7 linked regions of the Nothobranchius furzeri genome follow. The protein of the gene in region 2 interacts with the protein of the main gene of each other region in a pairwise test. Links are inferred from orthologs where the notes say so. Each region holds a gene or a part of one and is shown on either strand. Other genes may lie near its edges.

What was found.
Region 1: the proteins of thap1 (region 2) and akap17a interact in binary tests that used the Homo sapiens proteins (3 or more experiments, as listed by UniProt). The two-hybrid records come from large-scale screens. The link is inferred for Nothobranchius furzeri from reciprocal best matches to the Homo sapiens genes THAP1 and AKAP17A.
Region 3: the proteins of thap1 (region 2) and mettl13 interact in binary tests that used the Homo sapiens proteins (3 or more experiments, as listed by UniProt). The two-hybrid records come from large-scale screens. The link is inferred for Nothobranchius furzeri from reciprocal best matches to the Homo sapiens genes THAP1 and METTL13.
Region 4: the proteins of thap1 (region 2) and bysl interact in binary tests that used the Homo sapiens proteins (3 or more experiments, as listed by UniProt). The two-hybrid records come from large-scale screens. The link is inferred for Nothobranchius furzeri from reciprocal best matches to the Homo sapiens genes THAP1 and BYSL.
Region 5: the proteins of thap1 (region 2) and acot7 interact in binary tests that used the Homo sapiens proteins (3 or more experiments, as listed by UniProt). The two-hybrid records come from large-scale screens. The link is inferred for Nothobranchius furzeri from reciprocal best matches to the Homo sapiens genes THAP1 and ACOT7.
Region 6: the proteins of thap1 (region 2) and zinc finger protein 385C interact in a two-hybrid assay, tested with the Homo sapiens proteins (3 studies listed by BioGRID). The two-hybrid records come from large-scale screens. The link is inferred for Nothobranchius furzeri from reciprocal best matches to the Homo sapiens genes THAP1 and ZNF385C.
Region 7: the proteins of thap1 (region 2) and G patch domain-containing protein 2-like interact in binary tests that used the Homo sapiens proteins (3 or more experiments, as listed by UniProt). The two-hybrid records come from large-scale screens. The link is inferred for Nothobranchius furzeri from reciprocal best matches to the Homo sapiens genes THAP1 and GPATCH2L.

The regions. Positions count from the first base shown.
Region 1 is NC_091754.1:16,992,470-16,996,305, forward strand, and holds part of akap17a (A-kinase anchor protein 17A), read right to left. Parts: intron 1,461-3,836; coding exon 1,312-1,460; intron 1-1,311. UniProt on the Homo sapiens protein: Splice factor regulating alternative splice site selection for certain mRNA precursors. Mediates regulation of pre-mRNA splicing in a PKA-dependent manner.
Region 2 is NC_091746.1:71,097,245-71,101,851, forward strand, and holds the start of thap1 (THAP domain-containing protein 1), read right to left. Parts: upstream 2,824-4,607; 5' UTR 2,709-2,823; coding exon 2,638-2,708; intron 896-2,637; exon of another isoform or gene 763-895; coding exon of another isoform or gene 761-762; intron 132-760; coding exon 1-131. UniProt on the Homo sapiens protein: DNA-binding transcription regulator that regulates endothelial cell proliferation and G1/S cell-cycle progression.
Region 3 is NC_091748.1:42,295,581-42,299,846, reverse strand, and holds the start of mettl13 (eEF1A lysine and N-terminal methyltransferase), read left to right. Parts: upstream 1-1,396; 5' UTR 1,397-1,478; coding exon 1,479-1,631; intron 1,632-1,802; coding exon 1,803-2,075; intron 2,076-2,158; coding exon 2,159-2,630; intron 2,631-2,704; coding exon 2,705-2,904; intron 2,905-3,018; coding exon 3,019-3,208; intron 3,209-4,266. Other genes in the region: itpa (inosine triphosphate pyrophosphatase), read right to left, coding at 1-91, 247-323, 392-504, 590-621, 705-778, 854-918, 995-1,052, 1,196-1,249. UniProt on the Homo sapiens protein: Dual methyltransferase that catalyzes methylation of elongation factor 1-alpha (EEF1A1 and EEF1A2) at two different positions, and is therefore involved in the regulation of mRNA translation.
Region 4 is NC_091743.1:46,638,432-46,642,800, reverse strand, and holds the end of bysl (bystin), read left to right. Parts: intron 1-2,930; coding exon 2,931-3,033; intron 3,034-3,116; coding exon 3,117-3,471; 3' UTR 3,472-3,760; downstream 3,761-4,369. UniProt on the Homo sapiens protein: Required for processing of 20S pre-rRNA precursor and biogenesis of 40S ribosomal subunits. May be required for trophinin-dependent regulation of cell adhesion during implantation of human embryos.
Region 5 is NC_091755.1:32,418,136-32,422,610, forward strand, and holds the start of acot7 (cytosolic acyl coenzyme A thioester hydrolase), read right to left. Parts: upstream 3,023-4,475; 5' UTR 2,602-3,022; coding exon 2,423-2,601; intron 1,180-2,422; coding exon 1,062-1,179; intron 1-1,061. UniProt on the Homo sapiens protein: Catalyzes the hydrolysis of acyl-CoAs into free fatty acids and coenzyme A (CoASH), regulating their respective intracellular levels.
Region 6 is NC_091756.1:38,928,994-38,933,521, reverse strand, and holds the start of zinc finger protein 385C, read left to right. Parts: upstream 1-1,599; 5' UTR 1,600-1,789; coding exon 1,790-1,832; intron 1,833-4,528.
Region 7 is NC_091758.1:32,657,404-32,661,239, forward strand, and holds part of G patch domain-containing protein 2-like, read left to right. Parts: intron 1-607; coding exon 608-669; intron 670-1,150; coding exon 1,151-1,309; intron 1,310-1,586; coding exon 1,587-1,666; intron 1,667-1,764; coding exon 1,765-1,829; intron 1,830-1,911; coding exon 1,912-1,951; intron 1,952-2,035; coding exon 2,036-2,127; intron 2,128-3,836.

The sequences.
Region 1 (3,836 bases), on a different chromosome or scaffold from region 2:
TTCTACCTCATTTATAAACTATTTATTTACAGGTCCCATCAGTTAATGTAATAATTGTCCCAACCACAGCAACCGGAGGTGCGCTGTAACCCCCCACTCCCCAACCCCGTCTCGCAGCAATCAGGGGCAAGCTGCACGTGTATTTAGGGTGCCGCACGCGCACATTTTGCCGTTTTTAGCAGCTCGGGAGCCTGCAGGCACAGAGTGTCACTCACTCCGGTTAATCCAAGAAGGAGCCGGCTCTGAGAGCCGTTTCTTTAGCGACCGACGCATCACTACATCATTCCATTTCCTAATGTCCTGAAGGATGGTCCAGTGCGCAGGCGGAGTGTTTTTCTAACCCGCAGGACATGTCGACGACAGTTATCCAGAAAGTAGCTAAGGGTTACCAGAAATGTTTCTGGGGTGTTGGCTAGGTACTTCTTAGGCCTAGTCCACACGTAGCCGGGGGTTTTTTTAAACGAATATCCGCCCCTCCAAAAACTTGCATCCACACCACTTCGTTTTAAAAACTCTGTCCACACGTACCCGGATAAATACGTTGTTAAGGACATGCCAGACCTGTAGGCGGCAGTACTTCCCCCGTTCTTAACCTCGTCCTTCGTCTGTGGTCTTCCGCAAGGAGCAGTAATTCCGCTTGCAAAAACAAACAAGCAAAAAGCGCTTGGACAAATGATAAAGCGAGCGCAGCTCTGAGGGCATCCATGCTGTTGGCTAGTGTAAACACAGGTCGCACACGTGATGTCAGCATTTTTTTGTCGCGGAAAGTGACGTTGCGGACCTTAAAACTCCGGTTTTGTCTGTCCACACGCAGACACCCAAAACGGAGAAAACGCAGATCTTCACTTTGGCCGGAGTTTTTAAAAAGATCAGTTTTCGTGTGAAAAAACTCCGTTTTCGTGTGGATGACAGGCCAAAACGTAGAAAAATATCTACGTTTAGGCAGATCCCCGGCTACGTGTGGACAGGGCCTTAGATTTAAACAGTCAAGAAGGGGGTTTGAAAATATCAGTCTGTTGGAAATAGCGACAAAGTCGCTAAGTTGGCAACTCTGTTTTGAGGAGCGCTTGATTTGTAACCCAGAGCAGCGCAAGAGGGAGGAGCAAATAATCGGCTTGTTTTATTTGTATAAACTGTTCAAAACTCAGATCGTAATTGGGATTATAATTCCGTTAATTGAGCAGCCCTACATGGATGTGCGATGACGGAGAGCATTGCCGAAACAGACGCAGCTCTTCCCCACCAACATTAAAAAGTAAACCCCTGGTTTGGAGTTATCTGGAACTCGTATTTATCGTATTTCTATCGTACCTCTCCTCCTCCTTTCGTCTCTCCTCCTCTTCTTTCTCCCGTCGTTTCTGCTCCTCTCGCTGCCGTTCCAGCTCCTGCAGTTTCTGCCTCTCTAGGCTCCTTCTCTTTATGGCTGCATCACTAAGATGTTTGCTGGTGTCAAAGGTCACCTGATTTAAAAAAAAAATGTGATTAGTGATTTTTATGCTTTTTTTTCTGGTCATTTAAAGATTTGTTTTACTCTTTTTCTTAGCAAAAAAAAAACAATAAGTCAAAAAGCATGAAGGAAGATGATAACGTGTTACAGGACCAGAAATACCAAACTGTTTTTATTTTTAATTATTTGAATCTTTGATCATTTAAGTAACTCAGAAGGTTTTATTTCTGCTGCTTCGGTTCTCATTTCCCTAAAAGCTCTTAAAGCTACTTTGTGATTAAACTCCACTTAGCTGTTATACCGCTGCAGCAATCCCAACTCACCTAACACAGGCAACAAGGTCGCTGCTGTGCCCTAAAACGGATTGTTTGTTTACATACTTAATCATTTGTATGTTTTTAGTAAACATCCTGTGGGCTCAGTTTGAAGAAATTCCTCACAGATAAACTGGATTAGTCTGTAACAGAGTTGCGTTTATTACATTTTCACGTGCTTTAATCAAACCCAGTATGATGGATGGTTTCATTGTTGACTTGTTAGCTGCAGATTAGGAGGTGGAATCGTTCTCCTTCAGTCCTCTCACAGTTTTGTCCGTTAGAAGTGAGGATTCCTAGTTTGTCCTATAATCTGTTACATTTAATGATTGTTAAAAAAAACATAACATAGTGTTTTATATTTAAGATAAACCAATATGTGTACAGGAGGGAATGTATTTAGAAGATGTAAATTCGGACTCCAGAAAACACAGGATCAGATGGTACTTCCTTGTGCAAGAAAATACGAGTGCTTGCTCTACTTAACGGTGGACGGTAGAATTGCAGGAAGAAAGTTCTGGGACGCATCCTCAGTAGCGTTCCTCTGGATCATGCGGTGTTTCGGCCTTTAAATACTATACACCCTACTCAGAGGCGGCCAGCTGTAGGTTGATCAGACCTCAGCTTGCGTCCCAAGTCCAATTAGACATTAAAGTGTGCAACCTGGCACACTACTTGGGGGCCCAAATGGGGTCATTCCTCTTCAGCCAGAGCCACTGGCTGCTTCTTTCTGCTGCCTCTTATGTAGCTTTGATGGCTCTGCGCCGTTTCTGGCCCATGATTCCTAGGTCCCCTTAATAGTTTTGTGGTAGATGTTCCCACAAACCCTCTGCACCCGACCTCCACTGGAAGACCTCCAGAGTATGTGCCGGAGGGAGGCTGGCTTGGAGCACAGGACGCACCCACGATCTTCACCAAACCACTGGTGGAGATTAGTTGGTGTTGGTAGGACATCATACGTGGCTCTGATGGAAAAGCTCAAGTTCCTAGCTTCCATGGCCCATACATCCCTCCAGCACAACTGTCCACAGTCCCTGTTTGCCAAGGGCGTCTGCCTTGGCCCACCTTGCAGATTCCTCCCGACGTCGCACCTCATCATCCACCACCATCTTCCTCCATGCTGGAGCAGTAGCAGTTCTCCAGGCTGGGCGGCTAGCTTTTAGTCCAAGGCCTCCCCTTCCAAGGTTAACGTTCCCCACAATGTCAGCATGTCTAAGAGCTGCCGTTGCCTCCTCTACTGCTATTGCTGGTCTCCATTTGCGCCCGGTAACCAGGTTTGGTACGTTTTCTCTGATCACCGGATCTGTGGTATCGTTCAAGGTCATCTGCAACCGTGCTCTGGCACACTTGAACTCTTCCGTAAGGCCGGTAAGTGGCAGCTTGAGGACACGATCTCCGTAGAGGCTAGTGGTGGTGAGGCAACGTGGAACTCCCAGCCATTTCTTGATGTATGCTGTGACTCTTCTCTCCAGCTTCTCTACTGTTGTGACGGGCACCTCATAGAGTGCCAAGGGCCACAGCACTGGGGGTAGAAGGCCAAAATGGAAGCACCAGGACTTGAGTTTCCCAGGTAGTTGGATTTTAACAATTGCCTGTAGGCCTGCATTGATGTCACTGCACAGTTGCTTCACCTGTTGTTTATCTTTCAGGCTTCCATCGTAGTACCTTATGAGACTTTTGACTGGCTGCTCAGATACAGTAGGAATCGGGTCATCACCGGTGACGAACTGCGAGTCAGTGTGCTCTCCCTTCACCACCGAGATGCTGCGTGACTTAGACAGTTTAATCTTCATATGGGCCCACGTGATGTTCTCCTCCAGTAAATAAATAATTGTTGTATTCTCAGTTAACTATTTTATCTAGTAAAGTTAAAGTCCCATTAGTCATCACACACCGGTGATGTTTTTCCTCCAGATTTGAACCATCCCCAGGGGGAGCGATGAGCTGCAGACACCAGGGAACCACTTCGTGGTTTATGTTTATTTATTTGGCAGACGCTTTTATCCAAATTTATAACCTATAGGGCATGTTGTGATCTGTGGGGGAAACCGGAGTACCCGGAGGAAACCCACGCA
Region 2 (4,607 bases):
TGCACTCCCTCTTGAAGCAGTCTTTGGTGAAATGCTGGGAGCAGATGTTGCTGTACTTGGTGGGTTTGAAGTTGTTCCTCCTCATGGCAGCGACCCATTTCCCACAAACATCTGGACGGGCCAAAGGAAACCTGGGAAAACACGTCAAATGGTACAACAGCTGGGGAAGTGAAGTCCTCACAGGAACGTCATTCAGATGAAGACAGGCAGTGTTGGGAACGTTACTTTAAAAAGCAATTAGTTATAGTTACTGATTACTTTGTCAAAAAAAGTAACTCAGTTACAAGATTATAAAAGTAACTAATTACCAAGAAAAATAACTACTTAGTTACTTTTTTCATTAAAGAATGCAAGAATTACTATAATAGTGAAATATAAATGACTAATGACTGGAACATAATAAAACCTGAATAATTTAAATAAATAAGCACTTAACAGGAGGAACTACTAATAGGAACATTACACTTATCTAGACTATTAAAAGGTCTCTGTGTGATATTTAACAAAAACCCAATCAGCTAACATTTAAAATTGCAAATAGAAACACCTGTAAAGGTTCCCGAGCCTTTAAATGGTCTCTCAGTCTAGTTAAATTACAGAAATAAATGTAATTTTCTACGGTATTTTAATTTTTCCAGCTTCACATAATTGTGTGTTTTTAGTAGCATTTCTGTTGCAGGTAATCTAGTAACGGTTAAATAAATAAATAAAATCCTTTAAAATGACACTAGAAGAGGCACAAGCCTGATGGAGGACTTACATTTACTAACTTGGGTCAGACCCAACCACAGAAGAGCTGAAGCTGGGTGGTAAACACACACAGGTAGTTCTGATAACACCTGAGCTCCATGACGTCTGAGACTGATGCATCAGTGTTACAGCGGGACTAAAGACATGATCAGAAACAGGTTACAGCTGGATGATCTAGGAAGGTAGAAGATCAGGACGTCTGAGAGGTGAACAGGTGAGCGGACCTTCGGGACGTCCCGCTGTCACGCTAAGAGCACGGCTGCAGACCCACAGATTCGCTACTGCAGCAGCGAATCATTCATCACGTCTTCCTCGTTCTTCACGGTCCGTGATGCTCTTGGATGAAAACATCTACCTCTTTAGCTCCTGATCAGCTGATGACAGCTTCAACACACCGCGCTGCTTAACGCACGCATTTCCTTATCAGTAACAGAAATGACGTTTTGATAAAAGAAGACGGTAATTAATTAGTTTGCTCGTTACAGGAACACTTTTTTTTTATTAACGCGGTTATTTTAAACGGCGTTATTCCCATCACTGCTCTGTTGTGTCTACAGAATGCAGCGACTGAGACCGTGAGGGTCTCCGCCCACCCGGCCAATCACCATCGTGTTTGTAAGTGCGTTACCGACACCTCTCTCTCCCTGGCTGCAGCTGAAGTGTGGCGGTCAGAAAGCCTCACGCTGCTGCTCAACGTTCGACAAGCACGTGGTAACGGTAACGGCGTTGCAGCAGTGGGAAAAGTAATCAATTAAATTATTCCGTTACCTAAAAAAGAACGCCGTTAGCAACGCCGTTATATTTAAACGTCGTTACTCCCAACACTGAAGACAGGTGAAACAGAACTACCTCATCACTTCTACTTCTAAACACAACTGGGCTCAGTAAAACCGACGGCTGCAGGTAGAAACACGAGAAGATCCGAAACGTCTTCAAGAACCGTCAGGAACCCAAACCATCAGAGGCTGAGAAAAGAAACCAGGTCCAGTGGACTAAAAAGGACCCATCCTGTGAGTCCAGTCTGCTCTAGATCAGGAGAGGATGACGGAGCTTTGGTCTGGTTCTGGTTCTGAGGACAAATCCAGACCGTCTCTACAGCCAGAGATGATTAGCATGGAGGTCATGACCTCCACCGGAAGGAGGACATGTTCTCACTCCATCAGAGCAAAGCACGGTGGTGGTGATGAAAATGAACAAACGTCAACTCAGACAAAGTGACTGATGAGTTCTGGAGGAACCAGAACCCGAGCCAGAACCAGCCTCTGTAGCTGATCTGTGAGAAAGCAGAATGATGAAGATTTTAGTGAAAAAATCCAAAATGATTCCAGCGATAAAATAAACGACTTTTAATAAAAACCTGAGTTTCTCCACGTGACCCGATGACGCCGCATTAATTACAGCAACTTTACTGAAGTACTGAATGTTTATCTAAACACCAGGAAGTGTGAAACACACCTGCGCCGACGCTCCTCCACACCTGGCCTGAGTTCTCTCCACACCTGGTTTTATGCTCCTCCTCACTTGGCTGCTGCTGCTCCACACCTGCTCTGATGCCCCTCCACATCTAGCCTGAGGCCTCGCCACACCTGGTTTTATGCTCCACCAGTCTGGACAACTGGAGGTGTTTCTGTGTTTGTAGAATAAACTGGTCCTAACCACTAGCTGCTCTGGTTTTGCTCCAACATGTCAGACTAATGGGACTACAACACCTGGACACCTGTTGAACAGGTGGTTCCTCTGTGAGGCCGCTGCTCGGACTTCTGCTTCATTCAGCACGAAAACATGAATGAATAGACTGCTGTGACTGAACGAGGCTGTTTCTGAGACCGGACCGAAGCTCGGGCGGGCTAACGAGAGTCGGCGCAGAAACACCGGAGCCGAACTTACTTGTGGAAGGAGACATCTTTGTCTTTGTGGTACCGGTTCTTACAGCCATAGGCTGAGCACGTCTGGACCATTGTTTCATCCCAGAAAACGAACCGAACCTCCGCCAAACCTCGTTGCCGTCAGTCCGATCAGGCTTCACTGCCAATAACAAACATGGCGGCGGAGACAGGGTCACCTGACCCGCGTTCTGCCCCCTGATTGGCCTCTCTTCCTGGTAACTGTCATTTTAGTGTGTGAAGCGAAACTTGTTAGAATTTTTTTTATTATAAATCGTTGCAGATAAAAAAAATAAAAATAAAATAAGTAAAGGATAAAATAAAATAGTCACAGAAGAGCAGTTGGACAAAAAACATCTTTTCTTTGAATGCTTTTAATAACTATCACTTGATTTCATACAAATATCCTTTTGTTGTCTTTTTACCGTGTCCTGTCCGGCTGTGAAGCAACCAGAACTGATGTCTGACTGCTGAAGACGAGCCTTGCAGCTTTATTCTCTCAGGTGGAGCTCACAGCTTCTGCCGTAGCCACTGCTGACACCAAAACTTTATTAGCAACACTTTCGGACACAGAGACAGCTGTGAGAGAAAGGGGGAGAGTGAAGGAAGAGGTGAGGGAGGATGAATTATATAAATAATAAATGATGAAGAAGAATCAGCTTCTGGAGAGAGAGAGAGAGAGAGAGAGAGAGAGAGAGAGAGAGAGAGAGAGAGAGAGAGAGAGAGAGAGCGTGAAAAGGAGACACACAAAAATACAACAAGACAAAACATCGCTGCTCCAACAGCATGAGGATATATAACAGTAACTGCTTATGCTGGGAAGCATACCATAATAATTCATAGTGCATTTAGATATGCAGGCAGACCGAGGCACCGCCCACCGGTAGAACAAGTGGCAGGAGGGTACGCGAAGATGTCGTAACACCTCAAGATGTCTCAGCAGAGGAGAGGAGTCCAAGACCCCACCTGACGTACATGCATCCCTCATGCTTACACACACACACACACACACACACACACACACACACACCCTATTCACTCTGGTCCTGGTACTAGTGATGGGAATGGCTCAGCTCACCAAAAAGAGCCGGCTCTTTCGGCTCCCAAGTGGCTCCTCAGATTTTCTTTTGCGCAGAATACATTTATAACCAAAATAATGCAAAACTATTTGTAAAATGATTTACTAATGTAAAAAAATGCTGTGTATCAAATATTTATCATTTCTATGGATTTAATAACTGAACACTTTAAGAAATCTCCACTTTCCGACTGCTGGCGCTAATTTTCTCACCGTCTTCGTCGCACTCTCCTCTCTCTGCCTTTTTCCTCCTCCTCATTCCCGCTCGCCTCCCTCCGCCCGCATGTGCTCTGCTGTGTGTCTGAGTCTGATCCTCCCTCTTCTCCGCCCCTACTGCTCTGTGTGTGGACAGTCTGGACACGCAGTTACACATGTTGACCAATCACCTGCAGCTTTCACCAAGGCAGGGGGGGAGGGGGAGGGCTCCCATCGTTCACTTCAAAGAGTCGGCTCTTAGAGCCGGTTCGTTCGCGACCGACACATCACTACCAGGTACTACTGCGCAGAGGACACAACCATCCCTGGACACCAGAGCTAGCCCCGTTCTAATTAAATAATCTAATCTCTGCTCCAAACACAAGACAATAAATCTGCTTCAAATGCATTTATTTATTTTTACCCAAATTCTGCTTTTTTCTTTATTGCCTACTCGTATACTCCATTCTGAATTGTGTTTTCCTCTATTATTACTATTGTAGTGTTCACCTAAATCACGCCGGATTACGAAAGTTTCAAATCTAATAAAACTTAGAGTAAATCTGAACAATGAAATAAGTTTTTAAGTAAAAAAAATATTCAATAACTTATTAAACGTGCTTCAAATCTGTCTGTAGCTCATTATTTATGCATATGGATGTTTAAAGTTGATCTCCATGAGTCTTGTTTTACAGCCTAAA
Region 3 (4,266 bases), on a different chromosome or scaffold from region 2:
GTTGGCCTGTGAGAAGTGCTCGGACATAGCAGCGAGCGCCCGATACCGATGAGAGATTGAATTCTTTACTTCTTTGGGAAGTTCAGCGTAACTGGAGATTAAAAAAGAAGAAGAAAAGAATGAAAAAGAAATGCTGTAATTTGAACAAATGTACGGTAGAATCACCGCCATGGTGCTTCACAGATTAAGCTCTGAGAAAGTGTGTTATCATCTGGCTCCCTCTAGTGGTTAAGTAAGTGTGCCTACGTTTTCTCAAATCCATTTGGCTGGAAACAAGGGTCCCATCCAAAGTCTTTTGGCCCCCTTGGTTCCACAATTTGTCCCTGGAACAACACAATGAATATGTAAGCAGGAAATACACAAACCAGAACATGAAAAGAGTCATTCTGACCTCTGTTTTCCCTCTGAACAGCTGCACAGGTTCATCTTTACCAGCACAGAACGCAAAGGTGCAGAGAGCCCACGCTGACTTGTCTTCAAACCCAGCTAGAAGTTTGTACAAACCTAAAACACAACGTCAGACCCCAAAACAAGATTTTTAAAAACTTTTTGTTATACATCAAGATGTACATTTTATTTAATCACTTACCCTCTGGTTTGAGTTTATCAAGAAACCATTTGCTACAAACATAAACATGTTTACAACTCGTTATCCCAATCTGAGCGCATTAGCAGTTTAATACTTTATTATAAACTGTACCCACATGTAAGGACCAGGTAGTCCTCCCAAAGCCCTAAAACACAGGCAGGTGTCCTCTACTATGACTGGTCCATCAATCTTAAGGACAAAAACAAAGTTTTACTTCACAGAGCATCTGGTTCTTGAAGAACATTCCAAATTAAAATACTGTACCTGCTGCGCAGCTTCCTTACACTTCTGAATAGAAATCTCATCTGGCTCTCCCTGGTACTCGGGTACTTAGGAGAAAAAAGAGAAGACACTTTAGTTACAATAAACTTACATTTTAGATGTGGTGTCACACTGAGTACTTACAATCGATCTTTTCTGAGACTAGTTTGTAGGGAAACTTGTTTCCGAGTATTTGAACAACCTAAAACACATACGAACCAGAACAAAATGGAACAGTTCCCCTTTCAGAAATATCAAGCAGAACCCGGAATGACGTAATAAGTTCTATATTGGGGTAGCCACGAAACAAAGCAGGAAAATGAAAAACAGGATAAAAATTCTTACTTCTTCGAGTTTTTTTGCATTTCCAGTCACAAATACCACAGTTCTACCAGCCATGATGAAAATCACCCGGAAAACTAACACAACCGGACCTTGCAGCTTTGCAGTAACCAATAAAATCCGCTCTTAGTGTCTAAGCGAATCAGCGAGCAGTATATGACTCCGCCTACAAAGGTTAACCAATCACCCGTAGGCACTAGTAAGAACCGTGTCCGGGTAGAAACGTGAGCTCGGTGCCATGTGGAGTGAAAACCGTGCTGGAGAGTAGAAACCAAAACACGTAAAAATGAGTCTTTTACCCCGAACCGCCGAGGAGTTTAGCTCAGCTGAATACTGGGAGAAATTCTTTAAAAAGCGCGGAGAAAAGGCTTTTGAGTGGTATGGAGACTACAACAAACTGTGCGGCGTCTTGCACAAATACATCAAAGTGACGGATAAGGTGATGTGTGACATAGCATAAAACAATTCAGTGCAGCGTTTCTAGACTTAAATTAACTGAACAGTAATCATTATTCTTTATATTATTACAGCATTTTGTTTATATGTCAGTGCGCTAATTTCTTGTCATGAAATGTGATTTTATTTTTATTGTCTTTTGTTGCATGTTTAGGTGCTGGTGGTTGGTTGCGGTAACTCTGAGCTGAGCGAACAGCTGTATGACGTGGGCTACAAACATCTGATGAATATAGACATAAGTGAGACAGTGGTGACACATATGAGCCAGAGGAATGCAGAGCGAAGGCCTGGCCTGCTTTTCCATCAGGTGGATGCTACTCAGACTCCATATGAGGATGTCAGCTACCAGGCTGCTCTGGACAAGGGCACCCTGGATGCTATGGCGTCACAAGAGGAAGGAGTGTTGGCTGGGAAAATGCTCACTGAGGTGAGAAATCATCTCATGTGATAAACAGCGAATCACTATTACGGACGCTAGTGTGTTTCTTACTGTACTTTTTGATTTTGCAGGTAAGCCGTGTTCTCTGTGTTGGAGGGAGGTACATCTGTGTGACGCTGGCCCAGGAGAGCGTGATTAGGTTAGCTGTGGAGCACTTTGTTCAGCTTGGATGGGCGGTGAGACTCCACTGCCTGCAGGAGGAAAGAGGTGCTGAAGAGGAAGACTCCTTTGCTCTGCCCATTTTCGTCCTAGTCTGCACTAAATTCCGTCAGCCAATGCCTATGCCCATTCTTGAGATGTGTATTGGGGATGATGGTGCCCCTGTCCGGCACACACAAGTTAATGAACTGTTATCGTCTGTGAGAGAGTATCAGGCTTATTCTGTTTTGAGGAAGCGGCTCCGCACAAGCACTGATCCTGGCTCAAATCTCTCACTAACTCTCTGCCACGTCAAAACAGGACTGCCCAGATACACTCTTACAGTGCAAGACTGTCCACCTGGAGCCAAGGTGCCACGATCCAACCAGTTTGCTATATTTATTGGTGAGCTTCCATTTTGTTTGTTGCAATAGTTGTATTTTTTCCTCTTACCTTATTCTTTCCGTTTGTTTTGCCAGTTCCACAAGGGAGTGAGACAGCTTGGCTCTATAGCTCTGTTGAGGGCAGGAAGCAGCTGGCAGCCAGTGCAAACTTCCGGCGCCTGGTTATTGTTTTGATGCACAGAAATCAGGAGTACACAGACATGCAAGCTGTCCAGTCAGAGCTCTCACCTGTGGTCATGGACCTGGCTCCACCGTGTATGCCAACCAACCAGCAGGTAAACACATTTAGGCCGATAACATTTATTTTAGAACTACTTTTCAAAAGATTAAAATGTGCAATAACACCAAGCACATCAGGATATTAATTTGAGTGACCTTTTCTTGTTTAGGTGCCGTTTCTGTCAGTGGGGGGTGACCTCGGTTGGCGAGAGGATGTGAGCAGAGGTGTGAGTCGGCTCAGTGGCGAGTATTGTGTGGAGAATGTCAGAGGAGAAGATGGAGAACTTTATCGTCGACTTGTGTTCCTGTCAAATGTTGCCCTCGTTCAGTCGGAGAGCCGACTCGTCTCATCTAACACGGGTTTGTTTTTCAATCCAGTTCAATTCAAAGATACTTTATTAATCCCAGAGGGAAGTTTTTGTCATTTTTTTGTCATTCTTTCCTGTGTCTTTCCTTGCAATGTTGTAAAAAAATTTTTTTTATAAATTAACAGCAAAAATATCATAAAATGTAAAGCACACATATGAATGTTAATTGTTACTTATTTCAAGGGTTGTTCAGTATTATTGGTCTACCAGTAATATTGGCCGATATTGGCAATAAAATTTAATATCAAAAAACATTTGTATCGGTTTTCAGTCATTTAAAGAGCAAGTCACCCCTACCCAATTCTTACTCCACTCCCACTTCCTGTTTGAAAAATGCAACAAAGGCTGTAGCCTAGCAGACCGAGAGGGCAGAGCTGCTAACAAATACACACACACACAACATTGTGACATCATAATGTACCATCTAACATCATAGTGTACCTTTTAGCCAATAGCGATGGCAGATTTAAATTCAAATGCAGTGCAGTTTTTACCTGACGATAGTGCAACACTGACAGTTATAGGCAAAATATTTAAACCTGAACTAAGATGCACTAAAGTGTCGAATTATTGACTGTACATGTCTACAGCATGATCAGACTCATTTATTTAGTTTATGAGCAAAAAAAAGTTGATTTGGAGTGACTTGCTCTTTAATTACCCAACCTTTACATACCATACACATATTGTACATCAAACTCTTCAGCTACTTCTCCCTCTCAAAATGCAAAAATAAGACAGTTTTTGAGATATTTTAGATATTTGGCACATCTTGTGAAGCAGATATTTGCCCTGTGTGAAGCATGTAGCTATGTGTAGCTAGACAGCTAACAAACCACAAAAGTAAGAATCTTCACCAAAGACCGGCCTTTCTATCTGAAGATGTTTATAAATGTTTTATCACAGTAAATGCAATATACAGAAATAAAAAATACTTTACTAATAAACACAACTTAGCATCACACTAAAGGAGAACGAGATTCAGCTGCTGTTGGAGACAAATAAATATGGCATTTTTCCTATTACTGACTTAAATTGAAGTAGTCTTTT
Region 4 (4,369 bases), on a different chromosome or scaffold from region 2:
TTCCAACTTTGGCACACAGCTGCCAGGCCTGTAAACAGAAAGCACCATGTTTGGTTTTACGAATACTGGACCAGGATCCAGTTTCATGTGACCTTTGGAAGAAACAAGCGTGTGAAGAAGATGAATGAGAGGATTTTGTGTCTTATGTTTCAAAGCAGAAATATCAGGCTGCAGGGGACCTGACACAGTTGTGACTTTTGTACATGATTTATTATTTTTATACTGAGGATGCTAATGGAGGATTAGCTGCTGTCTGTTGAAGGAGTGACACCATTTTTCTGGCTGGATAAAAGTGTTAATTAATAGGTCAAATTAAGCTTTATATGTGGAATCAGATGTTTAAAAACATTCTTTTGATTTCATTTGTTTGAAAACACAAATCCCTGCAGTTTGAAGGGAACATTCTCCTGTTCTCTACCCTTTTATTCTACCCTTTCTCAGTGGCCTAGTGGTAGAGTGTCCGCCCTGAGACTGGGAGATCAGGGGTTCGATTCCTGGTCGGGTCATACCAAAGACTTTGAAAAAATGGGACCCAATGCCTCCCTGCTTGACACTCAGCATTAAGGGGTTGGATTGGGGGGTTAAACCACCAAATAGTTCCAGAGTGCAGCTGTGTCTGCAGCTCCCCCAGGGGATGGGTCAAATGCGGAGAACAAATTTCGCACACACACCTGTGTGTGTGACATCTAATGGGACTTTAACTTTTAACTTTAACAATCCATGACCTGAATTCAAAATAACTTCAGTTTGAGCCTTAAACACTAGGTGGCAGTGTTGCTCTAAGATCCATCATACTGGGAACTAGTGATGGGTGTTTTTCCATCCACAGTTCAGACTAATAAATGGTGGTAGATGATAAACTAACTCCAGTTCTCACCCACTACAGCTTCCATCCTACTGACTGAAACATTTGACACAGATCTTAAAGGATAACTAGACATGCGTGTATGTTAAACACCTTTAATGAAGCTTGAGCCATAATTAATGTATTGTTTCAAACTCAAGCTCCAGCAGAAGGTTTGTTGTTTATTAAAATACCTGTAAGAGTTTTATCTGAAATCCTCTGACCTGTAGATCACTTTGACATTGAAATCAAAATGGTAAAGATCTCTTTAAGCTTCAGTAAATCAATCTTGGTCATATCAAAGCAAATTTAATGAAACTTTCACAATGTGATTTCTGTGTGTTCATCTAAACTAATGAAGCTGTAAACATCAGACTATAGAGATAAACCGATATGGTTTTTCTATTGCCGATACTGATGCTCATATGTAGAGGTCACGGTCAGTTATGGCTGATATGTGCTCCTGTTTTTTGGGTTGATTTTCATGGCCGATGTCTAGACGTTTTCTAACATATCTGCATCCTAAATTGTCACTAATAACATCTGTTGATGCTCAACATTTCTGAACCTGAATCAGTTTCTGCTGGTGGTGGTCATGGGGACAGGTCCCCAGGGCAGCTGTGGCTCCAATTAGCTCATCATCACCAGCGTGTGAATGGGGGGATGACTGACTGTGTTGTGAAGCGCCGTGGGGGGTTGTCGAACCCTAATAAGGAGCTATACAAATATAGATCATTAACTGTTTTTGAACTCTGATTTTAACCATTTGTTGAATCTTAATCTTGTACACTGATCAGTATTAGGATGAAACATTAAACCAGAGTCACACATCAATAAACTGACCAAGTATTACATATAACTGAGCATTTATCAAGCACTTGTTAGTCAGGAACGTAAAATTAGGGATGCATGATATGTCTGCGTCAGTATCGGTATGGCCGATGTTAGTCATCTGTTAACATATCACATTGGTCCAACGAATAAAACTGGGCCAATATCAACAACCGATTATTTTTCCAACATGATTCCATTTGTGCATCTGTTTCAGAGGGAGGAGGGGTGATTATCTGTAATTGTTTATTCATGTGACAGTGATGGTAATCATCTCAGAAGCGTAAATGTGTGTGGTGTGTATATAATATTGTAAACACACACACACACACACACACACACACACACACACACATATATATATATATATATATATATATATATATAATATCTAGTTTGCACTTTATAGAAAAAAACATTCAAAAATTCAGCTTGCATAATTTCACAATCAGTATCAGTATTTGCCATATTAGGGATATTAATATCGGTATCGGCCCTAAAATGTCATATTGGTGCATCCCTTGTAAGTATACATTTGAATAAAATTTGGCAGCATCGCCGGGCTGCCCACAGATGTGCCCGTTTTTAAATTGGCTCTATAAAAGTGGTATATATCAGCCCAATATAGCGGCCTGTCCCTACATCAGAGTTTGACATGGAGCACTAAGCAGTCTAATGGAATGTAGAAATAAGAGTAAATTCTAAAAAAAACACATTTAAATGAACAGGTAGGATAATTAACACATAATTTTAATGATGTATAAAATATATATAAGCTAAAAGTGAGCTTATTCTCCTTCCTTGTCTCCACTGATGTTTTTCCCTGAGGCTCTGTTTTGCGTTGTAACCTGTAGCAGGTGTGGCAGCCTCCCATCACTCCTCCTCCTTTAAAGTGTTTCAGGATCATGTTTTAAAAACACAGATATTGTTTCATCTCTGACGTATCCATTGCATTACGCTCTACAAACAGCTCTGATTACGGCCTCCACTGTTGTTGATGAGTGTCACGTATAATTGGCGACACTTTAGCTGCTACCTGATCTGCGCTACTTATGGTTGTGCAACTGCAAATTTAAAACAAACCGAGTTCCGTTGGTTGACATTTTTCAGGGATTTTCCCATTTCCTGTGACTCACAAAGACTCATTTACATTGTTTGGTTTGTAAACAAGTCATGTACCATTGTGATAATATGATATATGCTGCTCTAAACATCACTGAAGCGTGCGTTTAATACCTGATTCCTTATAACATAGGTATCCTGATTCCTTTATGTGAGTCTGGGACATGCACCTTGAGGGAAGCCATCATCATCGGGAGCATTCTCACAAAATGCTCCATTCCTGTGCTGCACTCCAGGTTGGACCTCCTCACACAAAAACACACATGTGTTAAATCAAGTCTGCTGTTACATAACTTGTGTGATCTGTCCTTTCTTTCAGCGCTGCAATGCTTAAGTTGGCAGAGATGGAGTACAACGGTGCCAACAGCATTTTCCTGCGTCTGCTGCTTGACAAAAAGTACGCCCTGCCTTTCCGTGTTCTAGATGCCTTGGTGGCCCACTTCCTGTCTTTCCGCAACGAAAAACGTGTTCTTCCTGTGCTGTGGCATCAGAGTCTGCTCACCCTGGCCCAGCGCTACAAGGCTGACCTGGCCTCAGAGCAGAAGGCAGCGCTGATGGAGCTGCTCAAGATACAAACACACCCGCAGATTTCTGCAGAAATTCGCAGGGAGCTACAAAACTCTGAGTCGAGAGACACTGAAATCGGGCTCCCTATAATGGTTGAAATGGACTGATTCAGTCTGATGTGGTGCACCATTCTCCACATTCATGTTCCCTCTTTACAAAACAGACTTTGCTGTTGTTCATATACAAGGAGGAATTTAAACTTGTTTATGGACCTCAGAGATGTTTTCTGTGTTCTGCCTTGACTTGTTTTCACAAGTGAGACTCTCACCAGTGGTGATGTAGCTGCAGTTTCACAACGGTAACACAAGTCTCTGAGCCTGGGAACACAAACTCCTTTCGGATTAAAGTCGTAATTCTGAAACCTGTCAGAATAAAAACCAAATTATACCTCATAAATTGGTTGTTGATTTTAATTTATAGTTAACATTCGCTAACCAGAAACATGGAGTATGTGAAAAGGCCTCTCTGAGAAAGGTAACTCAGTATTTAATTTATTAGGAGCACTATAGCAAAGATTAAATGCGGAATTGAGAGGCACATTTCTAGGTATGAACATGGAGCAAAAATGATTTTCTAGATGTTTTTTCTGGAGCAAAGGGTACGTGCTAAAATTTGCAGAGTTAGAAATGAAAGTTGCACAAACAAAATGTGTCATTACAGAGCTGGTTGTAAAAATTCCAGTTAAAGATGGCAGATGGGCGTCAGTGGGAACAAATTATTACTGAAGTTATGATTCAGCCTTTTTGATTATAATTCGATTATTATATCTAATTTTCTTTGAAAATGTGAAAAAGTTATTGGAGAAAATGTTATATGATAAAAATGAACATAAATACAACTTAAATCAACATATTTGCCAAATTATAAATTTTCAAAACTACAGATGGGAACGTGTTGTGCATTTAAAGAAGAAAAAGTATAAAGTTAATCCTTAAAACACGTTTTTACAGAAACAAACTTTTCTATTATGTTTTGTTGACTTGTTTTAAAGTGCAAAACTAAATG
Region 5 (4,475 bases), on a different chromosome or scaffold from region 2:
CACATATAAAGGAATCACTTAAAACATGTGGCTATCCTAATTGGGCGTTTATAAAGTCAGCAAAAATGCACAGGAAAGAAGACCAGACACCAGCGAGGGAGGATAAGAAAGACAGACGCCACAACCTTGTAATCCCCTATGTAGCCGGTGTATCAGAGAAACTCAGGAGGGTCTTCTCCAAACACAACATACCAGTGTACTTCAGACCCAGCAACACACTCAGACAGAAACTGGTTCACCCGAAAGACAAAACTCCTAAACACAAACTGAACAATGTGGTGTATGCTGTACAGTGCAGCGAGGAATGCCCAGACCTCTACATTGGAGAAACCAAACAGCCACTTCATAAGCGCATGGCACAACATAGAAGAGCCACCTCCACGGGACAGGACTCAGCAGTTCATTTGCATCGAAAGGACAAAGGTCACTCTTTCGAGGATGCCAATGTTCGCATTTTGGACAGAGAGGACAGATGGTTTGAAACAGGAGTAAAGGAAGCCATTTATGTCCACTGTGAGCAACCATTTTTGAACAGAGGCGGTGATTTACGACACCAACTGTCTGCCATCTACAATTCAGTTTTGAGATCCCTTCCCAGATGCCTCAACGCCCACGCATATCATGGGCCATCTGACCTCAGGAATTCACATGATAGGGTGGGGCCAGGTTTCACAATGATCTCACCCGAAACTCTGGCTGAATAGGACCCACACCCACCCTTACACCTTGGCTCATGTGTAGTCATGTGTAGAAGATCATCAGGGGGTCTTTTGTTCCCTCTTCGGGTGGAAACTCTCACTGGGTTTGAATCTGGGACTCTCCAACGTTTGACCTTAGAACTGAAGAAGCCTCTTGGATGAGAGGTGAAACGTCTTCAAGCAACTCAAAGAAGTCCAGACGCTTTTCTTTCAAAGCTTCTTAGACTACAATGACCTGGATGACTGAGAACCTTCACAGACAACATCCAGAATATGAAAAAAATGCCACAGCAGATGAGACGATAAAAGCAACAGTAAAATAAAGTTCACCATGTGACAGATGACGCAAGATATGACACTTACTCCATTGAGTGTGTTGCAGTGCCGCGTGCCAACGATGGCTCCAGCTTCCTCAATCATCTTGAGGATGATGCCACCGTGAACGTTGCCCATAATATTCGCATCGTCCGGTCTCATCACCCTGGATCAGAAAGAGAAAAATGTTGGCGTGTTTCTGCCTAACTTTATATTAAAGCAGCTACACAGAATTTTCGGTCACTTCAGGAATTATGTACGATTTTTTTAGAAATCCGTAAAAGTTTCTTATTTTTTTGCAAAGTCCCCCGTCCCACAGAGGCTAGAGTAATTTTAATTAGGCGTCGCTCTGCATTAGCCAATAGCGTTAGATACTCGCTTACATACAATCACAGAGTGTGCAAAGTTTGCAACATTTCTTATGGACAAGTCATCCATAAGTTTGTTTGAAGGGGGTGGGGCTTATGGCATAATACATTTTTTCACCTCTAGGCGGTGCATTCAGACAAAAAAAAACTCAAGATTTCTGCTTTAAAAGATTTCCTGTGACCCACTAATTATAATAAACTGGTTATGAATTTTGCTGAAATTTAATAGAACAACTTATGAAATTCAACAGGAATATACCCGAACAGTGAATACACAATTGGGGTTAAAATTTGAGATAAAAAAAAATAAACTAATAAAATATCACATAATATAAAATTACCTTACAATAAAAACATATATAATGCAAAATTATCAAAAAAAAGTTGATGGGATTGTTTTCTTTACCATAGCCACTCAGCTCAAAGAACAGGCTGGAATAAATCCTTAATTGGTCATCTGGAACATAATCTCTAGCAGGAGGTGTCATAAGCACCATCTGAATCCAGTTCCTCACTGAGCGCATCAATCCAGACCAACAGGTTCCTATCTAATCTTCTGAAGTCACAAACAAGTAAAAGTTAAGCCACATAAGTCTCCGCCATTAGTCTTGGATCTGACTAATCCCTGAATCAGACATCAGATGGGACAAAAATCCACACCTTGACGTTACTAGTAATCCCAACACATTTCCCATAGAACTTTATAGTTTGTTTATTATAAACATGAAGTGTTGATCAGTTCCAGTAAAATGTTGTTCAGGTAAGAGAAACAACACAGAATAGGGTTAGGGTTCCATCACAGATACCAACGCTGAAAAAACACGGATTTACAACGATGAAAAGGAGAAGTTATTTCATGAACACAACAGCAAAACAGTTAAATCTGATCTTGCAATAGAGACAATATCCAGTTTGAGGGAGCAGTCGGAGGTGTGTGTGTGTGTGTGTTCAACAAGACAGCCCATTCACAAACGTATGAGATCTTGATATTTAATGATTAGAGAAGGGAACTGTTCTGATCACGGAGTAGGAATGAATTACCTGCAGAGTTGTAATTTGTCGCCCCCTCCTCTACAGACATCCCTGCTGATTGGCTGGCTTTGACCCGACTGCTGTTTCCTCATCACTGCAGCTGTTTCATCCATTTTATCAGCTTCCTTGCTGCTAAGCATCTCAGAGCAATGCAAGTTCACACCCAAGCTGACTCTCGCCTTTTGCATCAACACACTCCTACACTGTAAGTTCAGCACTTCTGACGACGCCACTGTAGGTGATGTCACACGTTTTGAATGCTGGAACCACCTTGAGAGTCATTACTGGATAAACCGGAACTCTGTATATTCTTCTCAGGTAGGTATGAACCAGTAAGGTCTCTTATCTATATTCTTCTCAGGTAGGTATGAACCAGTAAGGTCTCTTATCAGCACATGGAGGTGTGTGTCAGACAGGAAGAGCAGGAAATACAACAGGCATTGACGTATACAGTAGCATAAGGGCTAAGGACTATTGGCCATAATTTGACTAGCAAAAACTTGTTAAAATGGTTACATTTTTATCTTGTGTTGGAACAATTTGCAGCAAAATACCCTTGATGAGTGAATTATTTTGACAGATAGCCAGGATACTGATAATAAGCACGCCAGCTGAGAGAAATATCCTTTCTACCTCTTTATTGTTGTTCCAGGATCGACATACTGGGAGCAAAACTACATAAAAGTTGGGTTTTTGTTTTTCGTTACAAAGGAGCAGATGGTGCTGCTTCAAGGTGGTTGTTTTTGTTTAATACTATTATTATTTCATGGTACATCATGTGGTTTGTTATGATATGCCAATGATGCCATAAACATACAGAAACACATACATATGGATATTACACAAATTTGACTGTGTTGATTTTCTTTTGTTTTGTTGTTGTTGTTGTTGTTTTACCACATCAGACTTTTCCTGAGGCTGTACGTGAATTATTTTAATTTAAATGCAAATTTCTAATCAAAATATTTTAAAGCCAAAGGGAAGGGGCTGGATTTCATTGGGCTTTGCCCAACATGGAAGGGCTGGTTGGGTCACCACCAATTCCAGTAGTGTTAATGGTAATTACCAGTGATAATGGAATCAACAAGAGGTGCCTAAAAGTTAGAAAGAGACTCACACATCATTTAGTTTTGTGTTTTTGGCTTTTGGGAAGAGGAGTGACAAAAGCATATACACTGCAGAGACGTCTGTTTGGGAGATACGCACCAGTGCCAGAGGAAGGTAGAGGAGCCCAAGGCTTGTACTCCAGTAAAAGTCGCAATACTTTAATATATTAGTAAGTAGTCAGAAAAATAGAAAAGTCCTCTAATATAAAAAATTTAAATAGTTGACGTATTTTGTAATTTATTTAATCAAATAAATAAATTATACATAATTGTACTGCAATGGACATAAATGTAAAATGTAGGTACACGAAAACAATTTTTGTCATAGTTTCATTAGTTTCTTCTTATGTTTAGCTCATAATTAATTAACATTGTGGTTATTTTTATACCAACAAGTGATTCCATCCACTTCACTACTGAAAAATTCAATCTGCCTTTATTTTATAAGAAAATGTATTCTGCTTATCAAAACAGACTGGGGTCTTTGCATTTTCCTAATCACTGCTAAATGGCTAAAACTATACTTTCTCTGCAAGGTTCATCGTGTCATTTTTGTGTTGTTGTTATTGTTAATTTGCCACCTTAAAGTTAACTGCTCTGGGGTTAGCACAGAAGTAGCACCACAGATGAGGCTCTAATATTATAAAGGGGCAAGCTGAGGCCAGCTACTCTGTTAGAGGCACATTTGTAAGAAAACATTGCAAACACGCTTTAAATTGTTTCAAATTCTGGTGTGAAATTAGAATATAACACCAGCAATTTGGTTATAGTTGTTTTAGATACAATAGTTTCTAATAAGTTTCAACGTATAAAAAAAATTCCAAAAAATACACTGATAGCTGAGTTTTTATCTCAGTGACAACATTAAAGTAGTTGTCTCAGCAACTCTTTTTAACTTTAGATAAATTCATTCACATGCTGTTTCTAGGGCTGAACGATTAATTGCATATGCAATT
Region 6 (4,528 bases), on a different chromosome or scaffold from region 2:
CAAGGGCCCGTCGTCTCCTCCTCTGCCTCAGACGCCGGCCTCCAAGAGCCTGTCGTCGCCTCCTCCTCTACCCCTCCTCCCGCCCTGCTCCTCGTTCCTGTGGGCGTCTGGGATCCGCCCCTTGAGGGGGGGGTACTGTCACACCCGGTCATGTCTCCCCGTTTAGTTCAGCCTTGTGTCTCGTTGATTACTCCCACCTGCCTCTCGTTTCCCAATCACCTTAGCTCCCAACCCTCCTGTATTTAAACCCTGTCTGTTCTTTGTACTGTGTCAGATCATTGTTTCATTGTCCAGCGTGCTTAATAAATCCTGGTTGACCGTTCCTACCTGCTGCCTGTTTACTCCCCGGTCTGGATCCACGCCTTTCCTCCGCTCCACTCCGCAGCGCGCTGACAGTATTGGCATCTCCATAAAGCTTTTCAGCAGATGGAAGCATGTAGTGCTCCAAAATCTCCTGATAGCTAGCTGCATTGACCCTGCCCTTGATAAAAAACAGTGGACCAACACCAGCAGCTGACATGGCACCCTAGACCATGACTGACTGTGGGTACTTGACACTGGACTTCAGACATTTTGGCACATTCCCTCTGCCCAGTCTTCCTCCAGACTCTGGCACCTTGATTTCCGAATGACATGCAAAATTTGCTTTAATCCGAAAAAAGTACTTTGGACCACTGAGCAACAGTCCAGAGCTGCTTCTCTGTAGCCCAGGTCAGGCGCTTCTGCTGCTGTTTCTGGTTCAAAAATGGCTTGACCTGGGGAATGCGGCACCCGTAGCCCATTTCCTGCACACGCCTACACGGTGGCTCTGGATGTTTCTACTCCAGACTCAGGCCACTGCTTGTGCAGGTTCCCCAAGGTCTTGAATCGGTCCTTCTCCACAATCTTCCTCAGGGTCTGGTCACCTCTTCTCGTTGTGCAGCGTTTTCTGCCACACTTTTTCCTTCCCACAGACTTCCCACTGAGGTGCCTTGATACAGCACTCTGGGAACAGCCTGTTCTTTCAGAAATTTCTTTCTGTGTCTTCTTCTTGCTTGAGGGTGTCAATGATGGCCTTCTGGACAGCAGTCAGGTCGGCAGTCTTATTCATGATTGCAGTTTTGAGTAATGAACCAGGCTGGAAGTTTTTAAAAGCCTCAGGAATCTTTTGCAGGTGTTTAGAGTTAATTAGTTGATTCAGATGATTAGATTAATTGCTCGTTTAGATAACCTTTTCATTATATGCTAATTTTTTGAGATAGGAATTTTGGGTTTTCATGAGCTGTATGCCGAAATCATCAATATTAGAAACAATAAAAGGCTTGACCTACTTCAATTGTGTGTAATTAATCTAATATATATGAAAGTCTAATGTTTATCAGTACATTACAGAAAATAATGAACGTTATAATGAACTGTATCACAAAATGCTAATTTTTGGAGAAGGACCTGTATACACACACACACACGTGTGTTATCATTATTTCTTTTGTTTAACGCTTTGTGATCCCTTTCCACGTGTTTTACTTCTAAATGTTGAATGTACCGCCTACATTCCTCATCCCGAAAGCGGCTCCCCTCCTTAGCGCCTCTTTTTTCCTGTTTTCAAACAGACTGATTACAGTCGTCAATTCATCCTTTCTTCCTCTCTCATCCGCGCGCGCACTGGTCCGGTATCTTCTCGCGCAGGCAGTGGCGCAGCGCGCGCGCACGTTAACCCGTGCGGTTTATCTTCCTTCACTTTGACTGGCTCGCGGGACTGAAGCGCTTCCAGCCGCTGAGCACGCGCTGTAATCTGTGACAGCTGGAAATGGACAGCGACAACAGAGGAGCTTTGCAGCCGTCTGACTCAGGTAGGAAAACCATTTTCCTCTCTGCTTGTGTCCAACCTGCTTTTTGTCTCATGTGGCTAATAATGTGTCCGAGACTATATTTTTTTTAAATAAAACTGCCTCCAAATAACATTTTGTTCTGAATTTCACTTTCTGTCATTTAATGTAAACTGAACTCGTTATTTCAGGATGACCTCTTTCTGAAATATCCCTTAATTTCCCTTTTCTACTTTAAGATGAAAATAAAGTTCTCCATGTTTATTTTTAGCACCAATTGACTGGGTTATTCATAAATAGGTGCAATTCGAGTAAGCAATCGGTTTAGTGTTTTAAAAATAATGTGAAATGAAAACAGCGGTAGTTTGCCATTTTATCTTTTACTTTTCACGAGGTTGGTTGATTTTACTTTGTTATTGCTCTTTCTTTTTTATTTAAGAAGAGTGTAACCCAAACGGAAATTGGCCTAAATTCATTATGAGTTGCTTTATCCAAATTGATCTTCTCTTTCCAGATTAAAGAAAGTAAATTATTTTAAACACAATTGTAAGCCTATTCACATTTCAGGTGTTTTGATGTATTTCATTCTTTTTATGCACAACAAAACCTCACATTACTTCATGTGAATGAAGGAGAGAAAGAAATCAAAAATTTTAGAAGCATTAGCTAAATGAAAGTTCTTTATTGTCCCCACAAGGGAATAAAAATGCACTCACTGAGATGTAGTCGTTTTTCCAAATCAGTATATCCATTTATTGCATAATGTGAGTTATCGTAAACAAATGTTGTTATACAATTATCTGGCTAATTGTGTGAATGTTTTGGTTTCATCTATAATTTTGGCATGTTTAGCATTTTTAAGTGTGTGCCAATTTTTCTAAAATAATATTTTTAAATTAGATGAATTGTAACTGCACAAATAAACTTGGCAAGGAAATTTTATTTATATAGCATATTTCATACACAGAAGGAATTCAGTGTGCATGAATTCAAGCTCAATAAGTGAAAATACTGATAATAAAGGTCAGTCAAACTAATGTTTTTTTTAAATTCCATACAATATAATTTTATATAATGATAGTTGTAAATATAATAATACTATAATAATAATAATAATAATAATAATAATAATAATAATAATAATGATGATGATGATGTTCGAGACAGATTAATTTTGTCATCGTAGGTTTTTTGGTGCAAATTTCAGTGTAATGGAAAATCCTAAGCAAAAGAAAAAGATGAATCCTCATTGTGTGTGTGTGTGTGTGTGTGTGTGTGTGTGTGTGTGTGTGTGTGTGTGTGTGTGTGTGTGTGTGTGTGTGTGTGTGTGTGTGTGTGTGTGTGTGTACTGCTGGATTCTACCAGAGCAGACATACTTAAACACCCCACACTGGCCACATCATTACCTTCTGCATCCTCTTTAAATGACCTTGCTCTCCTCCGTCCCTCTTTGCGGCTGCTTCAAACCTAAATGGCTCCAAATGACGGTCCCCCGCCTGCCAAGAGCTAGCGACAATCTGTTCTTTCCAACTGCTCTGAAGCAATCATTTTGCTGCAAACAAAAGGTCCTTGATTCATCAAATCCCTCATCTCCTATACGGCCCACTCTCCAGAGGGATGCAGTAATTTTCACTAGCACTCCTTGTGTGTTTTATTTGGGAGTTTCCTTTATTTTTGTTGCATGTGTGAATCTTTTGGACTCCTTAGGTTTACGTTCTGCTGGGTCAGATTTACACTCCTACTGATATCCTCACTACACCTCATGTTGAGCATACAGGCAGGATTTAAAATGACACATTGCAGGATCACAGGATTAACAAAGCAAACAATAATTTTTAGAAGCTGTGCCAAACTGAGCATCTTCGGACAGTGTCAGTGACTGAGAGGTCTGCTCTCTCTTGGCTTTTAAGAAGGGAAAGCAAACTGAGGTGCAACATCTCGCAGTGCTTTGTTGGAAAAACAAACAGTGTAGAAAAAAATTTGAGTAAGCTGGTGTGCAAGAGTAAACGGTACTGGAATACAAAACACAAAACAAATCTGTGCTTCTGCGTTAAAAGTGGATTGGTGTGGTTCTTTTTGAAAATTAGAACATTTCTGGTGAATGTCGACGTGTCCTGAGGCAGAATGCTCAACCTCCCCCATTATCCCTGAAATGGCGGTTGTGATTTGGTGTTCCCTCAAATGTGAGGTTATAGGATGAAAAATTGTGTTAGTGGATAAATGTGATGATCAAAAGAGAATATTTAGTGGTTGCATTTGTAATAATGTCCAATTTTTAGAAATTTTAAGCAAATAGTAATATTTTTATAATTTATCTGACTATATTTTATTGTTTTGATTTTTTAGTTAAAAAAATCCATTCAGAAACATCCAGACATTTTATTTTGCAAACACAGCATTCAGACTAGACAGATCGATCAAGTAGAAAATAAGCTCTAATTGATATCTTCACACATTTAAAACGTACATGTGCTGTAACGCTTTTATTTGATGCATTTCTTATCATAACTATACCTATGAATTTTATTGTGAGCTATATTGATAAAGTTTAACAATTTTAAATCCCATAATTCACACTCATAAGCAGCTTAAGTCTGCCACCTACTGACTTAAATCAGGATCTGCAGTCTCCTTAAAATGTGAACTCCACATAATGCTTTTCAATTCAACGAGTAATCACATAAAATAACCAAAACAATCATGATTATCATTTCTTTTCC
Region 7 (3,836 bases), on a different chromosome or scaffold from region 2:
GGTGTGACAAATACAGGGTGAGGGTTTACCGAGGCAGCGGATGGAGTGTAACTGGGGTTTGCCTGAGGGTGTGGAGGGGACCGGCAGCAGAACAGTCGGGACGGTAAGCAGTGGCAGCCCCCGCAGCAGATGTCAGCCAGTTGTTGTGTGCAAGCGGCAGCTCATCTGTGTGAGGGGCACACCCAGAGGGAGGGGCAGACACGAGACTGTGTTCCTCTTCGCTGTCATCCTCCACAACGCAGACCAGATTAGATTGAAGCTGACAGCGGAGGATATTCAATTAGATTGTTGATGTCACTCAGTGACTTCGATCAGAGTCGCTCTCGATGCCTTTGTGTTTACCATCCCAGCAAGAGAGAACACACCACGCTCCGTCTTTTTGTGTCATTTCCACTCACGTCGACCTCCAGTTCCAGTCATCAGTTTTACTAGCGAATGCTACATGTCGATCACTGATGTGACCAGAGCATGTAAATGTTCCATTCACATTGTTCACTTCTCAGATGCTCTAACATCAGCCGACCTCTACTCTCAGATGACAAATCTAAACCAAGATCTTGGCTCTTGTATGTCAGAAGATTGGGAGACGTTTCTGTTTTCTTTGCAGGGAAACCAGCAGCACCTGCAGCAGCGACCCCGGTCTGTTCACAAACGACGAAGGAAGACAAGGTATCACAAAGCTTGGACTTTGATTGGATTCGTGACTGTTTGCAGCTGTCAGGTGGACATCACCCATCTCCACTCAGAGTGGGAATGCTGGGCCTACAGAGGGAGGTTCTGCTACAGCGGGCCAGTTGCTGGGCGCCCAGGCGACTCTAATAAGACGTTGTCATGTCGTGTTAATGAGCGCTGAAGCCTTTGCTAATCTCATTAGCCGTGGTGGGGCCGGGCGGCCTCTGATTTAACAGTTGTCACTACACCTTGACTGTGAGAGGCATGGTTCCTGTGTGCACCATGCTGAGTGACAGGTCTGAGAGGATCTCACTGCCTCTGGGGGGAAACCGATGTTATCTGGTGAGGAGCTTCAGACATTTCTGACTCCCACACAAAAGGATCAGACTGGAAAACATTGAGAAAAATCTGAAACAGCATTGATTAAACAAGGTGAATCTTGTGATTAATACACATTTGTGCTTTTACGTTTCCTCAGGCGATGATGAGCAGAGCGACTGGTTCTTCGAGGGGGACTGTGGAGTCGGGAAGGCGGTGGCAGGACTCCTGCCCAACTGGGACTCGGACAGCTCACTTTCTTTAGAGAGTCGACGCACCTCCACCAACTTCCTGCAGCCTGCACGGCAATCTGTCAGAGGTGCCTCTGTCCCTTTATGTGAAAATAGTAGTAGGTCTTGAGACTGTGTTACATTTTTCTGGTGAAAACAGAACAGATTTGACTAAATTTTGGAATTAAGAAGTTAAATAAAATAATAGTTTTTTTTTTAAATCGTCACAGTTCCGTTAAACAGCTTTGATTGAGGTTAATGATTGTTATTATTTTATTTATCACTAACTGTTCCTGTTCTGTTACACTAGTTATTCCCTTTTCTGATCCTTTGCTTGCACGGAACAATGAGGTTTGTGTTTTGCAGGGTATCACTCACGTCTGAATCGCCTGCCTTGCTCTGCTGCCTGCTGCTTCAGGAAGGACAGGAGACGACTTCCCAGGAAGGTTTAAGAACGCCTGCATTTCCTTCTTCACTGCTATGAATGCTTAAAACCGTTGCAGCATTTGTTTAGCATTTCTAATCGTGTGTCTGCGTCCAACAGAGCCACAACATGCCAGCGTTTGTGGAAAGACTGAGGCACTTCTCCCAAGATCGTTCCCAGAGAAAGTGAGATACACTCGTGTTAGAAAGCACATTTATGTCCCACTACTAAGTCTATTTGTCTCAAAATGTGGCCTTCTCCTTGTAGCTTCTGGCTGCCTCCTGTTGGAAAACCTGACAGGAACCAAGTAAGCTTTTACCACGTGTTTTATTTCACTTAAACTTCATTTTGATTTCTAAGATCTGTATTTTATTGATACTTTTACTTCTAGCTGAACCCTTTGTGCCCATTGCCAGTGTGTCCTATTGATGTGGCGTCAGAGAGCTCCCCTCTCAGGTGTTCGTCCTCGCTCTACAGAAACAGGTAACACCGTTTAGTAGTCAAACACAGGAGATGGTTGGAGTATGACCAAAGGCATGCTGCATCAAGGTGTGCAAAAAGCTCTAGTTCTGAGTTCACTTACTAGTTTTCAAGGTCAGTCTCCACAGAAATAAAAATATAATGTTGACTTACTGTTGATTTAAATTTTCTGGGACCGAACAGAAACAGTAGAAAAATCCAAACGGTCTTTCATCAAAGCATCACTTTGCTTCTGGTCATCCCCAGAACGGCTGGGTCTACACGGGGGGAACTTTTGAGGAACCGAGCAGCCCTCTTGGCCTCGAGTATGTGGGACTCCTCGTTGTGTTGTTACCACTCTGCCTATTTATGGTGCATGCTTAATTTTTGTTTCACACACACAGACACAATGTGCGCCTTCTCCCTTCCTCTCTCTTGGGTTATTTCACAGAGTGCTCCAGCTCTCCTTGATGAGGGGCAAAAACACGACTGCTATGAAAAGCCCCCCGACTTCTTAGGGCTTTCTTTTCTAAACTGGCCCTTTCTTCTCCACCTGAAAGGTTCCTTCAGATTCCAGTTTAAGGCACTGTGAATACTAATTTCTTCTATTAAAAAGCCCTCATATCCCTGCCATGCTCTCATTTGAATGACAGACTCGGGGGAGATCTCTTAATTCCTTTATAGTGCGATTCAAGACCCTTCACTTCAAAAAGTAGAAATCATACTCCCAAATGAATGAGGGAGAAAGGGGGGTGGGGGGCTCTGACGAGAGGAACTTCTGATGTTTTCTGTTGGACGGCACGAGCTGAATCTTCTTTCCTGAGCCGGTGATTTGGCCGCCTCGTTCTCATGACCTGGCTCTGCTCTCTTGGTACCAATCTGGGTCTTCTGAGTTCATCCAAAACACGAACAAAAAATCATTAAAGGGGCATTATGGAAGTTTGACAGCCAAAACATGCATAGAAATAATAAATTTCTTCTTCATACATTCTCCTGCAATGCCCTGGTCCTGTAGAATGAGCCCTGGCATTTTTACTGTGATTGCCTGTTTTTCTGTAAAATCACAGAAAAAGAGAGCTGCTCGGGTCGAGCAGGCTGCTTCACGCGCGTTCACGCTCAGGCATAGCCCGTAGCATTTGCTATTCGTAGATTCAGCAGCAGAGTGAGGTAGTGCCAACTCAGCGACTTTGTCGCTGTTCCTAACGCCTAGTGATGAACCTAGCTACATTTCTGAGGACCCTTAGCTACTTTCTCTAGATATTTGCTGCAAATTAGCAACAAAATAGCCATTTTAGCTTAGAACCGTTCTTTGAACGTTGTTTTAGCTGTAATCAAGGATATAAATGTTACAGATACCCAAAACTTCAGTGGTGGTTTAGCTCATCTAGTTTGACGTCAGACTCGTGCAGGAGACCCGGGTACGATTCTGGGTGAGAACACAGTTTATTTAGAGTTTCTTTTTTACATTAATGATAATTTTTTTACAGTAAGATGCCCAAATTTTTATTTGAGACTCGCTGAACGGCATTGAATTCATAGATAAAAAAAGATGTGGGTTCAACTTTCAGTTTGGAACAATTTTTCAAGCAAGGGAAGGGAATGATCTGAGCATGCAGGAGGACTGACCCATCTTAAACCTTTGTCAGCTGTGCTGAAGAGAAAGGTACAAAACCAAATTATTTAATTAATTAGCTGCGCGTTCTCCTGCGCTCTGTCCTCCGGGCCACACACAC